5 linked regions of the Zea mays genome follow. The main gene of each other region encodes a partner of the protein of the gene in region 3 in a complex. Links are inferred from orthologs where the notes say so. Each region holds a gene or a part of one and is shown on either strand. Other genes may lie near its edges.

Region 1 (4,143 bases), on a different chromosome or scaffold from region 3:
ATACTTCCCTGTTCTGGACTTCTGGTGGTATAAAGTATAAACTACCTAGTTGTTTATGGCAGCCGTTACATTTTCACGTACTCCTTTATTAAAAGGGAAAATTACAAATTAAGTTTCTTAAAATCTGAACGCCTTTCTCTTCACGCCTGCATTTTAAATTATCCAGCCTGCGGCCGTGGCTTCACGCGTGTTGGCTGATGTATCTCTGAATATTACTGTTCACCGATCGCTGTTGAACGACTTATCACTTTACCTGTTCTTTCACGCACTTCGAAACTGGCGCAGCGGAGCGCCCCGTCCGGTCTAGTGTAGTAAATAGTAATGGGAAGTTGAATGCAGATGCCTCTTTTATTGAAATCTGAACCAACCCAACTTAATCTTGTAGTAATGAACTATATTTTTGGTCACTGCATTACATTTCCGAGTATTCTTTAAAAGGGGAAATTACACTGTAGTAATGGGAGATTTGAATGCAGATGCATAACCTCTGTTGAAATTTGAGCCATCCTAACTGTGTTAGTTGTGTTCGAGAAAAATAAAAGGTTGGCTGAGTTCGAGAGGAAAAAATGTTGATTGATTTAGTTCATCAGACATTTTTGTGATTGGGTTATCTCTTGTATTCTGACCTAGATGTTGAATTCTTTCAGGTCCATTGTTAATGGCGCTGCGAAGTGGCTGAACGACAACCTGTAGGCTGTAAATATTTACTGCAGGATAGAAGATTGTCTTACATGGTGCTGTAGTCCAATCAAAGTTCTTAGATTCATTGGGGGTCCCCACGAGCTCGTATATTCGTTTTATTGGAGAGCTGCAAGATTTTCAGGCTGAGTGGCAACCGAGGGAGTGAAAGTTGTCAACTAATATCGTCGCGGCGTTGGTCCCTTGTCATTCTTGCCAAGCAATTATTTTTATGTAGTTGGAGTCCTTTTCAGTCTGGCAAGCGGCGTAGAAGTCTGAAGCTGTGGGATGCTGATCCCAAACCCCGGGACTAGACAAACACTGTACTTGAGGTTTTGGATTAATCAAATTCACCGATATCGAATTGCAAACTTATCCAACTTACAAGATGCGATGGAACTATTTATTAGAAATACGTTTCGGTGATATCGAATTCTCAGTTTCGAGAAAGGGCTATCACGCCGGCAGTTCACGCGGCTGGATCCGGGCACGGCGACCGCGCAGGCTCCCGCCATGGACGCAGCGCGACAGGCGAGAGAAGCTGTGAAACGGGCTCTACGGAGCCGTGACATTATCCATTCCAGATCGATTGGGCCGCCGCCGCCGCTTTCTCATTTCCGGGCCCAAACCATTATTTAGGCCTCTCGCGAAGTCAGTGGATGGATAAGAAAGGAAAGCGGTGCGAGCGGAGGAGGCGACCGAAGCGCCACTTGCTTGAGTAGCGAAGCGCGAGAGCAATGGCGTCGCTGTCGTGCGCCTCCACGCTGCCCTGGACCCCCGCCTCCTACCCGCGGCCCTCGGCGGGGCGCTGCCTCACGGCCTCTCGCCGGGCTCCGTCGCTGGTCATCGTCGCCCAGGGGAAGGTCAAGAAGTACCGCCAGGTCGGCCCGGGCTTTCCGCGTGTTCTTATGTTCGAGTTCTGTGCTGATTTCATCTTAGCAATCAGTTAATGCACGCGGGTTGCTGAGGGCATCATAACCTGCCGCGTTTTAGTTTTCTTCTCTAAAAAAATTGATGCACCGCCGTCGGTACGTTTGTATATTGTGATCAATAGATACAAATGAAGTTAGCTAGCTTAGCTGTCTCACTGGCAACAGGTAAGATATAGTGGCTCGCACAATTTAGATGCTCCAAGAGTTGTACTACTACTACTACTAACCAGGCTTTTAGGCAGGGGATTTAGATACTAGGGATGAAATACCTTTGATGGGAGCCTTGCCTCACTAGTTGGAGTTCAGTTCATAAGTCGTTCCTTTTGCTGTGTTTGCCTGATTGTACAAGAATGCAACAACGGTGCATCCAGTTAAATTGACAATGTGGTGCTTATCTTGTGTAGCTATTACCGCCACCCTTAGCATTACATGTGATTTTACCTTTCTCCATAAAAAAAACAATTCTTTCCCATAGGTCATATTGACAGACGACATAGAAGAGGTGGGGAAGAAAGGGGATACACTGAAGGTGCGAGCTGGATTCTACCGCAACTTCCTCCTTCCCAAGGGCAAGGCTACACTTCTGACCCCAGAAGTCCTCAAGTAATTGCTACCAGCTCTCGGTTATCCCTCACTTGCTTTGCTTTGTTAGTTATGTCATTTAATCCTCAAGTAATTGCAAAGTCCACACTCTGTCAAATGATTCAGTGGCTGCTGGCAACCGTATGACCTTCTCTGTGGTATGCTTAGTTTGACTCTGAGGTTTGGGACCTAGGCACCTAGCAAAACTAGATTGAGATATGAATCCAATCCATGCACCTTTCTAATAGAATTGCAATGGTCGACACACATACTGTTTGATTCGATGGGTAAGTAAGATTGCGAATGAATTTATTGCCTCTACTTCTCTTCGCAGGGAAATGCAGCTGGAGCAGGAGAGAATAGAAGCTGAGAAGAAGCGGGTAGGAAAAAATATTTTACTCAGTAATAAATGTAGTTGCAATTTAACCTCAGCGACCTTTTTCTTTGTCTGGAGAGTAAACTTCAATTGCAGTTTATCCTTACTTTCCTTATGAAAAGAAAATATAGTGCCTTTATGTCCTCCGTAATTTAAGTCCTAAGCATGATATGTTCATGAAATTCTATCAATGCATTTTTATCAGTTTTTGTTTATAATTATGGCCTTAAGAAGTCCTCTATTTACATAGGTAAAAGAAGACGCGCAACAACTTGCTCGAGTTTTTGAAACCATTGGCGCTTTCAAACTCCCTCGCAAAGGTGGAAAAGGAAAACAGATCTTTGGGAGGCAAGTTCTAAGTTGGACAATCCATTATTTATTCTCTCTTGTCTCAGGCTATCTCTTACAGCTTACCCATCTCCATCTCTCATTTCAAACTCTACTTTGTACACACTGCAATCTATAGTGTCACTATCTGCTGGGTATAGTCTTACTTTCACTTTTCTGACGATATCTTTTATTGTACAGTGTCACGGCACAGGATGTTGTTGACATAATAAAGTCACAACTTAATAGGCAAGTGCATATGCTCCTAACTCCTAGGCAATCTTAATAGCGTTTCTCATCATTATATTGCTTCTCTTACTGCTGGCACGCTGTGTCTTGTAGGGATGTCGACAAGAAGCTGGTGACGGTTCCAGAAATCCGTGAAATCGGAGAGTATGTTGCAGAGATCAAGCTTCACCCAGACGTGACAGCGCGAGTAAGGCTGAATGTCTATGCGAAATGAGCTCAGCAGTTACAGAACCTCGAGTAATGGACTTTGGAGAAGCCTGATGTTTGCCAGGCGAGCTCATTTGCCGTTGTTCTTTCCTTGAGATTTGGCTCTTAGAATTCCGCTGGTCTTGCTCTTACACAGTTGCTTTTGTTTAGTGCAGAGATTTTGCTGCAAGTGCCAGGTGCTGCGGTAGACATGAGGCCTGGTCTGGCCGTGACTTGCCTGGTTTTGATACACAATTCACTGGCTCACTGCGCATCCTATTCCCTACCGTGTGAAGTCAAGTTTTCAACAATTATATCTGTTGATTTTGAGGCGGAAAATATAAATTGTTGTAAAGAACAATTTGTTTGAACTGTAGAGCACTACTTCGCCAAAAACGACCCTTCTTTCTTGTCCTCTAACCTTCCCCACCTCTACGTCTGCATCCACTACAAAAAAAAGGCAAGAAATTTGCTAAGTATGGGGCTCCATAGAGCGTTATTCAGATTGGAACACCAACGTACTTGACACATGAACTGCGTTTCTTTTAGCCAAAGTCTGGGCGTCACCAGCGATCTGATACAGATTCACGCAAACCAACTGTATTCATCTCAACATCCACGTTCTACAAAAATGACAGTTTCACATCGTTGTCTAAAAATGCAATGACTCCCGAATACCAGTACAACTCCTCGCTTCACCCTTTACAAAAATCCTTCTGCTTCTGCTAAATGAACTAGCATCATAACTGAACAGCCAGCATTGCAGGCAAGGGGGCATTGCACAGAGCTAGAAATAGCCTTTCCGCTTACGCC
Region 2 (2,632 bases), on a different chromosome or scaffold from region 3:
TTATACTCATACAACATGGAATAAATCTTTGTAGATGTAGTTAATCGATAAATAACAAATATAAAATTGCACCTATCAAAGTTAAAATATATGAATACTTAGCTAGATCTATTATCAACAAGGCATAATGAATAGAGATAGCCAAACAAACCAAAGTTAAAATATATGAATACTTAGGGCAGCATGACGTACGAATAATGATATACCAAAAGGTGATAGAAGAGTATAGTATTTAGTAAGAGCAACTACAATAGTTATGTATAATAATAATACCTAAATCCTAGATATAGCAAGTTCTCATATAATATAGGGGAAAAAATCATCTCATCCAACATTTCTCTATCTATTACTTTCTAAATATGTTAAATTTTAATTAACATGACGCTAGTTTGAGTAGGACCATTAGTGATGACACATTTAATTGGTGAGTTATGTTGGCTTTTTTATTTACTATCACAATTGTTTATTCGTTTATTTCTAACATGTGCACGTGCGGCTATTGCATTGGCAATTGGTTAATCTCTAGTTGACTACCTGCCACAATTTTACATCGTCGGCGTCCGACGAATGTGCTCTGTTAATATATCTCTACTACAAAGTGAAAAAACACCAAAATACAAAAGTTATCGTCAGTTTTTTGTTTAGGAAGTTGATAAATGGTTGCTAAATGTAGGGAGAAATTGAGATTAGATGAGAAGTAGCTAAATTTAGAAAATTCATTTAAGAGAGTTGTTGGAGATGAGTTTTTAGTTTAGCTACCTAAATTATTTATTGATTTAAGGAATCTTTTGGAGAACTACTAGAGTTGCTCTAATAGAGTTGCTCTAAATTATTTAATTTTATACTCTTAAGAAAACCGTAACAACTGTAATTGTAGTTTGCATATCATTCCTTAATTATATTTAAGTCAGACTCTACACGGCATGCAACTTTCTCTTCTTTTGGCCCACTAATTCAACCAACCATCTACCAACACTTTCATTTCTGGTGGTGTACTTTCTTCGACGTTACATCTATGAAAGAGAATTTTGATCCGAAATGTTTCGATAAATAAAAAACCGCATAGCTATACCTCTTTAGTATAGCTGGCCGCCAACTGGAAATAACTGAAGGAGAAATTGGGCACTGGATTTTTCGTGGGCCGTCGCATTTCCACGTAGCCCAAAACAAACCACAGACAGACTTTAATGAACATATAGAGCCCAAACAAGCCTAGACAACGCTACCTAAAGAGAGAATCGACGAGCGCCAGAGGATAACATTAGCAAGGCGATAGATAAGAGGAAGGAAAGAACATAGGCAGCCGAAGCGACTGTCGCGAGGCAAGGCCATCGTCCGCCATGACGCTCTCCCTCTCCACCTCTTTCCTCCCCATCCCCGCCGCCGCGAGGACCACCGCCCGCACCCTACGCTCCGTCGTCCCCTCCCAGGTACGCACGTTCGTACACACCGGCCCTCCCTCTCGCCATTCCTGCACGGATCTTCGTCGTCGCCGCCGCTAATTCCTGAGTCCGGAACCTGGACGGCGCGGTGCAGGGGATGCGCTGCTCGATGCGCAAGAAGGGGTTGCACCCGGAGATCTACGAGGACGCGAAGGTGTACTGCAACGGCGAGCTGGTGCTGGTGACGGGGGGCACCAAGCCGGAGTACACGGTGGACGTGTGGTCCGGAAACCACCCCTACTATGTCGGCGACACCTCGGCGCTCGTGGTCATGGACAGCCAGATCGAGAAGTTCCGCAAGAAGTGGGGCCACATCAAGGAGTACTGGCCCGAGGACCAGTGGAGGGAGATGCACCCAGACGGCGACCCGGAGTTCGAGCCCGAGGGGGACAACTGATTGATGGCTCCCCGTCTTCCTCACCCGGTGCGTGGTCACCGGTCCAGTTTACATTTGCCCTCTTGAATGGAATCGAGACTCTGTCTGTTCGCATTGCTCTCCAGGTGTTCGGTTAATGTTCGGAATGGAAAATGTACAATTACTACTACTTCACGAGATAGGGTCTTGTTGATCATGGGCCCCCAAATACAATGTGCTTTCTGCAATGCACTCTAGGGTAGGATGGTATTGATCAAACAAGCAAATGATCCTGGTTCGAGGAAATGGATATTTCTCACTAGGAGTATACGCTGATGCTTGACTACAGCTTGAGTCGTCTGCTGATAACCTGATACCGCATACTGTTTGATCAAACTAGCCTCCTGTTGCTAGGTGATCCAATTTCCGAGTCATAGTTTTATACAACCAATTTTTCCATGCGACTGAACTAATTGAGTGTCCATGTGTTGCATGATATATAAAACATGTCGTGACATACGGCCATATGGGTGGAATAGAATATTTGTAAAATCTCATGCCATTACAAACAATTAGCACCAACATATAATTCAAGCTAATTTCTATAAAATAAAACAAAATGACTATAATATTATTGGCTTAATCTAGACAAAAGAAAAGTAAGTAATTTTATTTTGTTATTAATAAACCGTTGAAGATAATATCATACACTAGCTCTGATTCACTCTATTTCCTACGTTGATAGAAAATGTGGCGGAAATAAGAATAGATAGCGACAAGCAAATAGATACTCCCTCCGGTGTTATATTATTTGTCGTTTTGGATAATGTTCGAG
Region 3 (3,212 bases):
TCGACGTTGTGGGCCATTCGGGTTTGCACCAATCCGGTATCACGTCGCTCTGCTTTGTTGGTTGTTTCTCCCCAGGCCCACAAAAGAATGACCTTACGATTTATTGGGCCCTTGGGCCTTTCGTGAGGTCTTTTACTCCTTTAGTGGACCCGGGGGATATCTATCCCCCACACAACAGCCTTAGGCTCCATGGCATCCAATTGTGTTGTCACATGGAGCATAGGGTGTCCACAACCCCTGTCACGATAGTTTGGAATATTGCATCTCATTTTTGGGCCAACACAACCAACACACTAAAGACATCAATCATGGTTGAAAGAGAAGAGTAAGGCCATGTATACAAAGTACACAAACTAGTCTACTTCACGAGTGAGGTCCTATTAAAGTCTAAAGTACGATACCCGCAAGTCTAGAAACCACTCTACACCCTACTAATCATATTGCACAGACTTTGCCACTAGGTCTGGACGAGAAACTTGTGGATCCATAACTCGCTCTCATTAGTGGCTTGATACATCTTGGCTCGTTTGAAATGAGTCACGAGCTCAGCCAACATTTTAGTTTGGTTCTTAACGAGCCAAACGAGCTGCACAGCTGCCCTGCGGCCCAACGAGGCCCAAGCGTCAAGCGACCTAGCCCAACCAAGCGAGACGTAGACGACGAACCACATACGACAAATCTACTATATTCAAGCTTGAATATTCAGTTTTCAACATTTTATTTTGATTTGTATATCAATCTTTCAATATTTTATTTGATTTATATGTGGTGTGTCATGACCAAGCAATAGTGCATGACAATCTTGATAGCAAGCTACCATTATGGATTCTAATTGAACTATTTTTGTCATGCACTTTAGCTTGAACATGTGTAATCAGTTTAATATATGGTTACCTCTCACTAAAAAATATATATGTAACGTCATCATGGGCACATGTCCCACATATCAAATATTAAACTGATCACACTTGTTTTTTAAGTTGTTTTTTACACGCATGACCAGCTCAATGACTGTTGTTAATCACGTATTCACGATATTAGGTTCGTTGTTAGCAAAACAAGGCTGTATTATGATGTTAATCTTATTGATCCACTAAACAATCTTGGCTTGGGCTTGATGGGCTTTAGCCATCTCTGTATCCTCAATGGGTCCAAGTCCAGAGCACACGAAGGCCTAGCCCAGAACCACTGGATTGGCCACTGCCAGCGGCACAGCCGACGCCTTATCCAGCAACCGTCTTCCTCATCCATGGCATAAGCCGCGCCCGCCTCCGCACGCCCCGCTCCGATGGCAGCCGCGGCTGTGACCCTGCCCTCCTCGGGCACGCCCTTCGCCGTCGCCACAACCGCCTCTTCCTCATCCGCCCGCCGCTGCCTGCTCCTGCCCTCCGCGGCTCCCCGCCGAGCTCTCCGCGTCGTGGCCTCCGCCGCTACCGAGGCGCCGCCCAAGCCCACGCAGCCGCCGACATCGCCCTCCGGCATCGTGCTCGTCGACCCATCCGAAGCCCAGAAGGTGCACCGGCTCAAGGCCGTCTACGACCAGAAGGTCGTCCCGCTCATCACCGAGGAGTTCGGCTACACCAATGTCCACCAGGTGCTCGACCGTCGACCCTGCTCCTCCTCGCCGCGGAAAGGCCCGCCGTTCCTCCTTGTAGCTAGGCTAATTTGCTGGCGTGGTAGGATTTTGACTTTTGATGAGTCGTGCGGTTGGTTCGAACGGCTAGGTTCCCAAGCTCGAGAAGATTGTGGTGAACTGCGGTCTGGGCGCGGAGGCAGGGAACTCGAAGGGGCTGGATGCCGCCATGAAGGACCTGGCCATGATCACCGGGCAGTGGCCCGTCAAGACCAAGGCCAGGAAGTCCGTGGCCAGCTTCAAGATCCGTGAGGGAAACACCATCGGTATCGCAGTCACCCTCCGCGGCAGGGTGAGCCTCATCCATTGCTCATTTGGCCTCGGAGTGTATTTCGTGGCAGTTTGGAATATGGCAGCTTAGTATAATCTGCAATACAAGTGGAAATTGTGAGCTCGTTTCACTGGTACAGGGCTCATTTCTTTTTCTTTTTTTTGTCCTTGGCTGTAGATAATGTACAACTTCCTGGATAGGCTCATCAACCTTGGGCTCCCTAGGACCATGGACTTCCTGGGTGTCAACCCCAACAGCTTCGACGGGCACGGCAACTACAGCCTTGGCCTCCGTGACCAGGGCGTGTTCCCGGAGATCCCGTACGAGGTGGGCGGGAAGAAGAACGGCATGGACGTGTCCATCGTCACCAGCGCCAAGACGGACAACGAGGCGTTCAGGCTGCTGGTCCTCCTCGGCATGCCATTCTCGGAGAACATCAAGACCGACGTGGTGATCCGGAAGAAGAGGTTGAAGCGCCACCACTTCCTGAGCAAGGGCAAGGGGAAGGGAGGACGACGGTGAGGAGAGGAACCAGCCAGCCAGCCAGCCCATGGTTGCACACGCTCTGTTCAGCTTGTTTTAATTCCGATCTTTTTGCAGAATTTGGCTTACAAATTCGATGCTGTTGTTGTCTGTCAATTATGTAACTTGTGCACCTATGAAAAAGGTTTGCAATGATCATGTCCGTTTTGCTGATTTCTTCTTGATGCATAATTTGTAGTCACAAGTTATACCACTGCCAGACATTGTAATCGGAGGAAGCAGTAATGTGAGACGGACACTGTAATGCAAACGTATTTCAGCTGCATTTCTCATACTGCTTGTCTAGACTATCACCGAAGAGCCTATATGATCAATGATCTCTTTTGGCAATCGGCCTCAATAGCTACACTTCGGCAGCTCGGGTGGGCCGATGACGAGCTCTTCCTCCGGGAAGGCGCACGGCTTGCCCTCCGCGGCGAGCTCCGGGCACGGCTTGGGCGAGACGTGGGAGGTGACCCCCTTGACGTTGGTGCAGTTCCACTGCAGCTCCTTGGCGTCCGGCGCGAGGCGGGCGGTCACGTTGGATATGCAGATCCCGGTGTAGGGGTCCTTAGGGATGCCCTCCATCCTGCCGGCCATGGTCACGTTCTCGGCGAACACGTCGCTGTAGTTGATGCCGGTGACCTCGGGCATGGCGTTGGGGTCGGACGTGTTGTCGGGGTGCTGCCCGTAGTTGCCGGTCATCCAGAACACCCACTTCATGGTGTGGAGGCTGAGGCCGCGCACGAAGATGTCCCTGACGAAGCCGCCCCTCCCGGCGCCGGA
Region 4 (4,087 bases), on a different chromosome or scaffold from region 3:
CTAAATACCAATTACGAAGAGATCCTATAGGAATGCTTGAAGCTCTTCTTTGGAGGACAAACTCTACATTTGCTATCTCTGAACATGGAGCACGGAGTAACATATATGATGAGGGGAAAGCTATTGTTCAAAAGCACAAGGCTACCCCTGAAGAGGTAGAGGTACAATTGACTCGGTATCGTCAAGATGGAATGCCGGACACAAAAAGATTGCACGGACTGAAAGGTCAGTCTGTTAATCTTTCTCAAACAATTGTTCTTTTGCTCCTGTGGAATATCTCTGTATATGTTTTCCGAACTGTTATAATGAATTTACCCGTTTGATTTTTCAGCTCTAGCCGAAGCCTCTGTTATTGTGAGGGAACTCACCCCTGCAACGAACCATTTCATGTGTGCTTGGTTTAATGAAGTGGTTCGCTTCACATCTCGTGATCAGCTCAGTTTTCCATACGTTTTGTGGCGGCTAAACATGCATGGATTGAGCATGTTTCCTGTATGCACTCGCAGGGATCTTGTGAATAGTTTGGGTCACACAAGGAAAGTAAAACCTCTTACACAGACAAATTCAGGGTCTTCTACTACTTCGTAACCTTCCTCCCAGTTCATTTGCTGGTAGCCAACTAACCATTGATTTACATATGGTTCTAATCGTCGATACTCGACATCTCTGGTTCACAATTTTGTTGTTGTATATTATCATCTTTGCGTTCTTCCTGCGAGGGAATCCTGGATCTGAACCAGAAACACGTTAAGCTGTTGCTTCACTGCAACGCAATCACACGATGTTGCCACTATATATGTAAAAGATATGCTTTCTTTGGTTAGAAGAGAATGAACACTTTTCTGCCTCCTTTCCGTTTCCTGATGGAACATGTGAAAATGGTGTCCGTTATCAATTAATTCGGCTTCTGCTGCTGATGGTTGTCGCGGAAACTAGCAGCAATGGAAGTTCTGTTCCCGTCATTTTATTTGGACTCGAGAATTTCTCTGATTACCGATGTTTCTAATTGGTACTTGAACAGCGGAATCGTTTGAAAAAAATATGGTCCTGTCTGAAGCTATATTTTGTTAATGCAGCTCCCTTTGCCCAATAGTAATACATTGAATTTCTTTTTTTTAGATGGAATTATGGAACCGCCATTATTCTGAGTTTGGGAAGAGTTTCAAAGGAAGCGTTTAAATCTCAGATGAGCTGATAAGGTGTCGTAATGGGCCAAATCTGCATTTCGTTCTGAGCCCATGAAGCCCATATGTTCTTGTTAACCTTTCCCTGTTCTTTGTCTCCTATCCCCTTATCCGCTTGACGCTCCCCACTGCGCCTAAAAATGGCCGCGTCCCACTGAACCAACCGTCTGCACATCCTCCTCCTGTTGCCGCTCGCTCGCCGTGCCGCAATGGCTACGGCCGTCGCCTCCCATACGTTGCTCTCCTCCGCCTTCGCCCCGCGCCACTACCACCGCCGCCTGACCCGGACCGCGTCCGTGGGGCCGCGCCGGGCCGCCCCGGTGGGACTGGCCGTGCGGTGCGAGAAGAGCGACAAGCAGAAGAGGCAGCCGCTCGCCGCGCTCGTGCCCCGCGAGCAGCGCTTCATGTTCGAGGGAGACGAGCTCTGCGGCCCCGTACGACGCTCTCTCTTCCTCTCTTGAAACAATGTGCACATTTTCACAGCTCGTTTTGCAGGATTGTAACCCTGGACTGACAGTGTCCATCCTATTTTGTTCATGTTTCACCGTGGCCATCTTAATCCACCTCAGAGGCTTCGACTATCCTTTTATGTGCATGATGAAGGGCAATCAAGTTACAATAGAACTGCGTACATTATATATGTTATCTGCCATGTGCCATCATATCCAAAATTACCCATGGGCTGTTTGTGGTGAGAGAGAATTCATTAAAAATGAGCTTAATTGGACATGCAAGTCAAAGTGAACTGATGGTTGCCAACCAGCCTGTTCATAATTGTGACTTGTTTAGGATCAGTTACTAATACTATGGGTACAAAGTGAATGGTTTGTTTGTACTATGCCTTGTTCTTTCTTCTAATGAATTACTCCACAAGTAATTGTGTCTACTGAAATCTGATTCAGTGATTTAATTTGCAGGACATATGGAATACAACCTGGTATCCTAAGGCTGCAGATCATGTAACTACCGAGAAGACATGGTATGTTGTTGATGCAACAGACAAGATCCTAGGCAGGCTAGCATCCACCATTGCAGTACATATCAGGGGAAAGAATGAACCCACTTACACTCCTAGTGTAGACATGGGAGCTTTTGTTATTGTGGTAAGCGTTCTCTCAATACCTATAGTGTTTGGAATCCCTACAGTTAACAGGTAGCCAGCTAACAAATTGTTAGCTGGGTTGAGCCAGCTAATGAACTAATTGTTAACTGTGAGTTAGCTAACAATTAGTTGTGGGTGTTTGGAACCTGTATAGCTAATTTTAGCAGCTAACTATTAGCTGTAGAGGTTCCAAACAGGGCCTTAGTATACATGCTTTACTTCCCTCAGATTATTTGGTACTGAGGTGAGTAACCTTCCTCAAATAATCTTCAACTGTAGTTGTGTTTAATGTTTATGTTAGCATAGTCCTTTTGTGACTGGTGCATCTCTAAAGGCTCATTACCACGTATTCCCTCAGTTCCAAGTTATAAGACTTTTTGGATTTTTTTTGGATCCATTACTTTTGCTACGCACTTAGACATAATTCATGTCCAGATATTTAGTAACAACTATGTATCTAGAATTACCAAAACATCTTATAATTTGGAACAGATGGAGTAGATGATATGCATTATTGTGTTACACTACAATGCTGAGAGTCATTAACAACCTTTTCTATTCACATAGGTCAATGCAGATAAGGTTGCTGTTTCTGGTAAAAAGCGGTCACAAAAGCTTTATAGGAGGCACTCCGGAAGGCCTGGAGGGATGAAAGAAGAAACTTTTGACCAACTTCAGAAAAGAATTCCAGAGAGAATCATTGAACATGCGGTTCGTGGCATGCTCCCCAAGGGAAGGGTAAGAAAAAACATCTACTAGCTGATTGCCTCAGGTCTACATGTTCTCTTTCTCGTTTTAGTGCGCATGTTATAATGTATGCCAAATATGAAAATGACAACCAAATTTCCTGGTGACCTTTATTTTAAGGTCCCAAAAATTACAATTTGGTATTAGTTAGCAGATGTGAATTTTTTCTTTTGAGATTGAGAACTACTATAGTTAATGGTGAGGCCTTGTTCGGTTATTTCAATTCCATGTGGATTGGTGTGTTGGGATGGATTGGGATGGATTTTGACTTGCTATGGATTTAAACCGACTCAATACCACTCAATCCACATGGATTAACGGCGAAACGAACAAGCCCTGAAGTGTATTGCAGTCAGAACATTGCTCATGCATCAGCATGTACCTCCCAGTGAAAGCGTGACATTCAGAATAAATCACAGTACTAAATTCAAGGGAATGTTGTTATTGAACAAAATTAACAAGTCCAGATTGAATTAGTTAATTATCTTGCCGATCTTTTTTTTTCTAAGTTCGCAAAGGTGTGTTGCATGAACTCCATAAAAATTGCCTATTAACCTTTTTCTTGCAAATTGCTTCTTAGTTCAATTGTTTGGTAGTATGGATGCGTTTACTGAAACTCACATTATGGCAGGCAAATATCTTGTTATCTGAAGCATCCCCCCTAACCATTCCATTTTTCTTGTTGATGGCAAATTTGATTTAACTTAGTTTTGTTATGTGCTATATACTTGTTATATTTACATTTATATGCTCACCTTTTTTGCCAATTTGCAGCTGGGAAGAAGATTATTTACCCACCTCAAGGTATACAAAGGGACAGAACATCCGCACGAGGCTCAAAAACCTGTCCCACTCCCGATCAGGGATAAAAGAATACAAAAAACTGGATAGAGAATTCATCGACTGAAAAGGATGCAGTGGCGAATTCCTCCCCAGAAGGTTTTGCCCTTTGTTTGGAATGCTATCCTCATAACCATGCCTCTGATCGGGGAGGGGGGGGGGGGGAGTATAAATCCTCTTTGTAATTTTGATGTTTACCAATGCATGAAATTCA
Region 5 (3,412 bases), on a different chromosome or scaffold from region 3:
GTCCTTTTCAGTTCCAAACTATTCACCGTGCAGTGGCAAAGATCGATATGGACTAACATTTTACAACCGCAAGCACGCTATAATTTGTCACAAATAAACAAGAGTGGGAAAAAGATAGAGGAAATGCGTTGTGTCGGTCGGGTCCGGCCGGGGTGGGGTGCGGGTGTGGGTGTCGCCGGCGAATCGTCAGACGAGGCAATGATCGCCGGCGGTCAATGTCATCTCTCCGTCCCCCTGCTGACGGTGCGTGCGGTGCGGTGACTGCTGCTAGTACAAGTAGTAGCAGCAGCCTGTGAGCGCCGTGCGCTGCTGCCTCTTTGAAATTTCTGGCATCCCTAGTGCCGCCGGAAATCTAACGCACACGGAGACGGAGGAGTAAACAGTGCAAACTGCAGCGAGTGAGCGGATGGAGCGTCTGGACTCTGGAGAACACGAGATTATTAGTGGGTGGTGGTGGTGGTGGTAGGGCCCTGTTTGCTTGTGTGGTCTGGTCTGGGCCATGATTAACTTGGACCCCCAAACGCTCTGCATCTCCCGCGCTTTCGTCAAGGATCCTAATCATGCCATGTGTCGGTCGTCTCCTCTTCTTCCGGCTCCAGCTTTGCCGTTGCCGCCGGTCAAGCCCATCATCATGCCTACTGCTTCTCTTGCTCTTGCTCTTGCTCCACAACAAGCCTGCCTGTCACTCTAGCTAGCTTCCCCGGCTATCTCCCCACGTGCCGACGCTAGCTAGCTGTGGCCATTCAGCGTCTCTCTGTGCAGCTCCGGAGGGAGGAACAAGATGATGCCCTTTTGGTTCACATATCATGTTTGTTTAACTCTAACTGAGCCTATTCAGACTTATTATCGTTGGTACTTGAATGTGAATCATTATCGTTACCACTTACGTTACATATCATGAACCAAACACCACCACACTGATCATTTTGTTTTCCCCCTGAATGATTCCTTCGTGAATCCTGTGTTGCCTTGCCTAAAACTACAAGGACCAAAACCGGCCAGGAGCATAACACCATTTCCCTCCCTTCCAATTCGGCCAGACACTCTGCAAGCACCACGAGGCCCATCTGCAAGTAAGGCCCAAAAACTCCAGGACCCAAAACACTGGGCCAACCACGAACGAGCCCACGTCTCCCGACTGCATCCCTTCTCCACTCCGTTATCACCAGCGCCCACACCTCTGTACCTCACCGCCTCATCTGCTCTCTTCCCCCGTCTTCTTCCCAAGCTGCCACGTTGCCTCCCTCCGCTCCAGCGGCCCATGGCCTCCATGGCGTTCGCCCTGGCGGGGGCCTTCAAGGGCCTCTCCCTGGCGCCCACCACCACCACCTCCTCCTTCCCGCGCTGCGACCGCGCCTCGCTCTCCGTCGGCGGCGCAGCGGGCGTGCCGGTGCCGGTGCCGGCGCGGCGGCTCACCATCCAGATGGCGCACAAGAAGGGGGCCGGGAGCACCAAGAACGGCCGCGACTCCAAGGGCCAGCGCCTCGGGGTCAAGATATACGGCGACCAGCTCGCCAAGCCCGGGGCCATCATCATCCGCCAGCGCGGCACCAGGGTCCTGCCCCCCTCTTGCTCCCTTCGCTTCCCTTACCTGTTACTGGTTTGCTTTGGGTTAGTAAGACAGCCTAGGCTCTTGCTTGCGTGGATTATGGTACCTCGTTGACTGGCTCTGCTGGGCGACATAGCTCTCTCTGCCTAGCGTTTGCTTGCTGCTCACCTGCTGCTGCTGCTGCTGATGCAGGTTAAGCATATTAACCACCGACCAGTACCTTCATACGGATTACGGACTGCGAATGCTAGAATCTTACGATGTACCTAGAATGCTTGCCATTGCACATGTTACGTTGGAATGTATGCTGCCATTGTGCATATCTGCATTTTCCATAGTTTACCACTCTGCAAAAGCAGGAAAGAAAAGATTGCAGTTTCTTGCATACATCAGATAACGGGAGGGGAAAGTGCACACACAAACCTCGCTGGGGAATGTAACGTACTAACCTCAATGCCCTATGGAGCCAACTGGTGGTGACTTAGGGGGGTGTTTGTTTGGGATTATAATCTGCCCAGGTTATATAATCCAACAAATTTTGAACTAAACACCCACCTTACTCTGCACACATGGTCAGACATAGCTGTTCAATATTAGGCATACTGTAAGATGGTCGGTCAATCCTTGTAAAAGATATTTCATGAACTTACATGTCTTACGATTTGGTTGGTCCGTCCTACTTACCAGCGCGCTTCAAATATTTAAGATGTTTATATATTATGGATACTACATGGTTTATACCATCGTGTCCCTTGTATAGAGTTCGTTTTGGTCCCCGTTTTGTGGTCTGTCTGTTCCTTGCCGTTTTTAAGTTTTTTCTTAAAATAAAATCTTTTGGACATTTCAGGTCTATCCTGGAAATAACGTTGGAATGGGCAAGGATCACACACTCTTTTCTTTGATAGATGGACTCGTCAAGTTTGAGAAGTATGGGCCGGACAAGAAAAAGGTTAGCTGTATCTTAGTTACTACATACTGAAATCTGCTTTTACTTGCATCTGACTGAGATCTGGTTGCACACCAGATATATGCTCATCTCACTACCTCTCCTTTCATAGGTTAGTGTTTACCCATATGAGAAGGAGCCTGAAAACCCAAACAGTTACAGAGCAAGGAAGAGAGAGTACTTCCGCATGCGGCGTGAACGGAAGAAGGCGAGAGCGGAGGGCGCCGCTGAGCCTCAGTTGGTACTAGCTGCTGTTGATGAAAACTCTGAGGTCAGCGCGGACTGCTGATAAGTTTCCTGTGTGGTGTTTCTCTTTTTCACAGCCCTTGTTACACTTTTTCTTCCTTAATTGTAAGACCACATGATCTATAAAGGTCATATTTACATGTGTTGTTTAGATAAATGGATATGTTCTACTTGTACTTTTTGTGGGGTAGTTGTGCTTTAGAGTCACAGTGGGGGTCTATTCCAACTTCCTAGACCACTCCACGTAGGGCGTGTTTGGTTCGGCTTTTTTCTGAATAGCTTTTCTGAAAAGCTGGTGGTTAGAATTTAGGTGTTTGGTTCGCCAGCTGTGCGGAAAAGCTGTTCGTTAGAATCTAGGTGTTTGGATACACAGATTCTCAGATTGCAGATTCTGTTTGAAGAAACTATACACATTAACACCGAACCAACAAAAGGTCATTACATATAATTAGTGGAGTTCATTACAACATAACTACTGTTACATTTACATATTTAACTACGGCACTAATGCATTAGCAATTGCATCTCGAAATGCACTCATGTCTAACTCATCAGATGTGATACTACTACTCTCACCTACAGATACATCATGACCAAGGCTATTAGGTCCTAGTTCATCAAAGTCTCTATCGTGTAGAGCACTGTCTCTAATGAAGTTATGCAATGTCATA

What was found. Proteins that work in one complex are often made in the same cells at the same time.
Region 1: 50S ribosomal protein L5 (region 3) and 50S ribosomal protein L9 share a complex: the UniProt entries of both Arabidopsis thaliana proteins name them as parts of the 50S ribosomal subunit. The link is inferred for Zea mays from reciprocal best matches to the Arabidopsis thaliana genes AT4G01310 and RPL9.
Region 2: 50S ribosomal protein L5 (region 3) and 50S ribosomal protein L31-like share a complex: the UniProt entries of both Arabidopsis thaliana proteins name them as parts of the 50S ribosomal subunit. The link is inferred for Zea mays from reciprocal best matches to the Arabidopsis thaliana genes AT4G01310 and emb2184.
Region 4: 50S ribosomal protein L5 (region 3) and 50S ribosomal protein L13, chloroplastic-like share a complex: the UniProt entries of both Arabidopsis thaliana proteins name them as parts of the 50S ribosomal subunit. The link is inferred for Zea mays from reciprocal best matches to the Arabidopsis thaliana genes AT4G01310 and emb1473.
Region 5: 50S ribosomal protein L5 (region 3) and 50S ribosomal protein L27, chloroplastic share a complex: the UniProt entries of both Arabidopsis thaliana proteins name them as parts of the 50S ribosomal subunit. The link is inferred for Zea mays from reciprocal best matches to the Arabidopsis thaliana genes AT4G01310 and RPL27.

Annotation. Positions count from the first base shown.
Region 1 is NC_050100.1:222,785,531-222,789,673, reverse strand, and holds 50S ribosomal protein L9, read left to right. Parts: upstream 1-1,343; 5' UTR 1,344-1,415; coding exon 1,416-1,559; intron 1,560-2,085; coding exon 2,086-2,213; intron 2,214-2,526; coding exon 2,527-2,572; intron 2,573-2,818; coding exon 2,819-2,916; intron 2,917-3,096; coding exon 3,097-3,144; intron 3,145-3,237; coding exon 3,238-3,358; 3' UTR 3,359-3,415; intron 3,416-3,501; 3' UTR 3,502-3,726; downstream 3,727-4,143. Other genes in the region: Chaperone protein dnaJ A7A, chloroplastic, read left to right, coding at 648-693; methyltransferase WBSCR22, read right to left, coding at 4,118-4,143. UniProt on the Arabidopsis thaliana protein: Binds to the 23S rRNA.
Region 2 is NC_050098.1:221,940,151-221,942,782, forward strand, and holds 50S ribosomal protein L31-like, read left to right. Parts: upstream 1-1,282; 5' UTR 1,283-1,340; coding exon 1,341-1,430; intron 1,431-1,536; coding exon 1,537-1,839; 3' UTR 1,840-2,132; downstream 2,133-2,632. UniProt on the Arabidopsis thaliana protein: Binds the 23S rRNA.
Region 3 is NC_050096.1:5,387,174-5,390,385, reverse strand, and holds 50S ribosomal protein L5, read left to right. Parts: upstream 1-1,185; 5' UTR 1,186-1,288; coding exon 1,289-1,594; intron 1,595-1,724; coding exon 1,725-1,925; intron 1,926-2,081; coding exon 2,082-2,426; 3' UTR 2,427-2,712; downstream 2,713-3,212. Other genes in the region: glycoside hydrolase, family 28 precursor, read right to left, coding at 2,784-3,212. UniProt on the Arabidopsis thaliana protein: Binds 5S rRNA, forms part of the central protuberance of the 50S subunit.
Region 4 is NC_050098.1:202,897,642-202,901,728, forward strand, and holds the start of 50S ribosomal protein L13, chloroplastic-like, read left to right. Parts: upstream 1-1,287; 5' UTR 1,288-1,393; coding exon 1,394-1,618; intron 1,619-2,101; coding exon 2,102-2,287; intron 2,288-2,853; coding exon 2,854-3,024; intron 3,025-3,807; coding exon 3,808-3,924; 3' UTR 3,925-4,087. Other genes in the region: uncharacterized protein LOC100285659, read left to right, coding at 1-225, 332-588.
Region 5 is NC_050103.1:167,360,501-167,363,912, reverse strand, and holds 50S ribosomal protein L27, chloroplastic, read left to right. Parts: upstream 1-1,199; 5' UTR 1,200-1,261; coding exon 1,262-1,555; intron 1,556-2,396; coding exon 2,397-2,498; intron 2,499-2,607; coding exon 2,608-2,784; 3' UTR 2,785-2,912; downstream 2,913-3,412.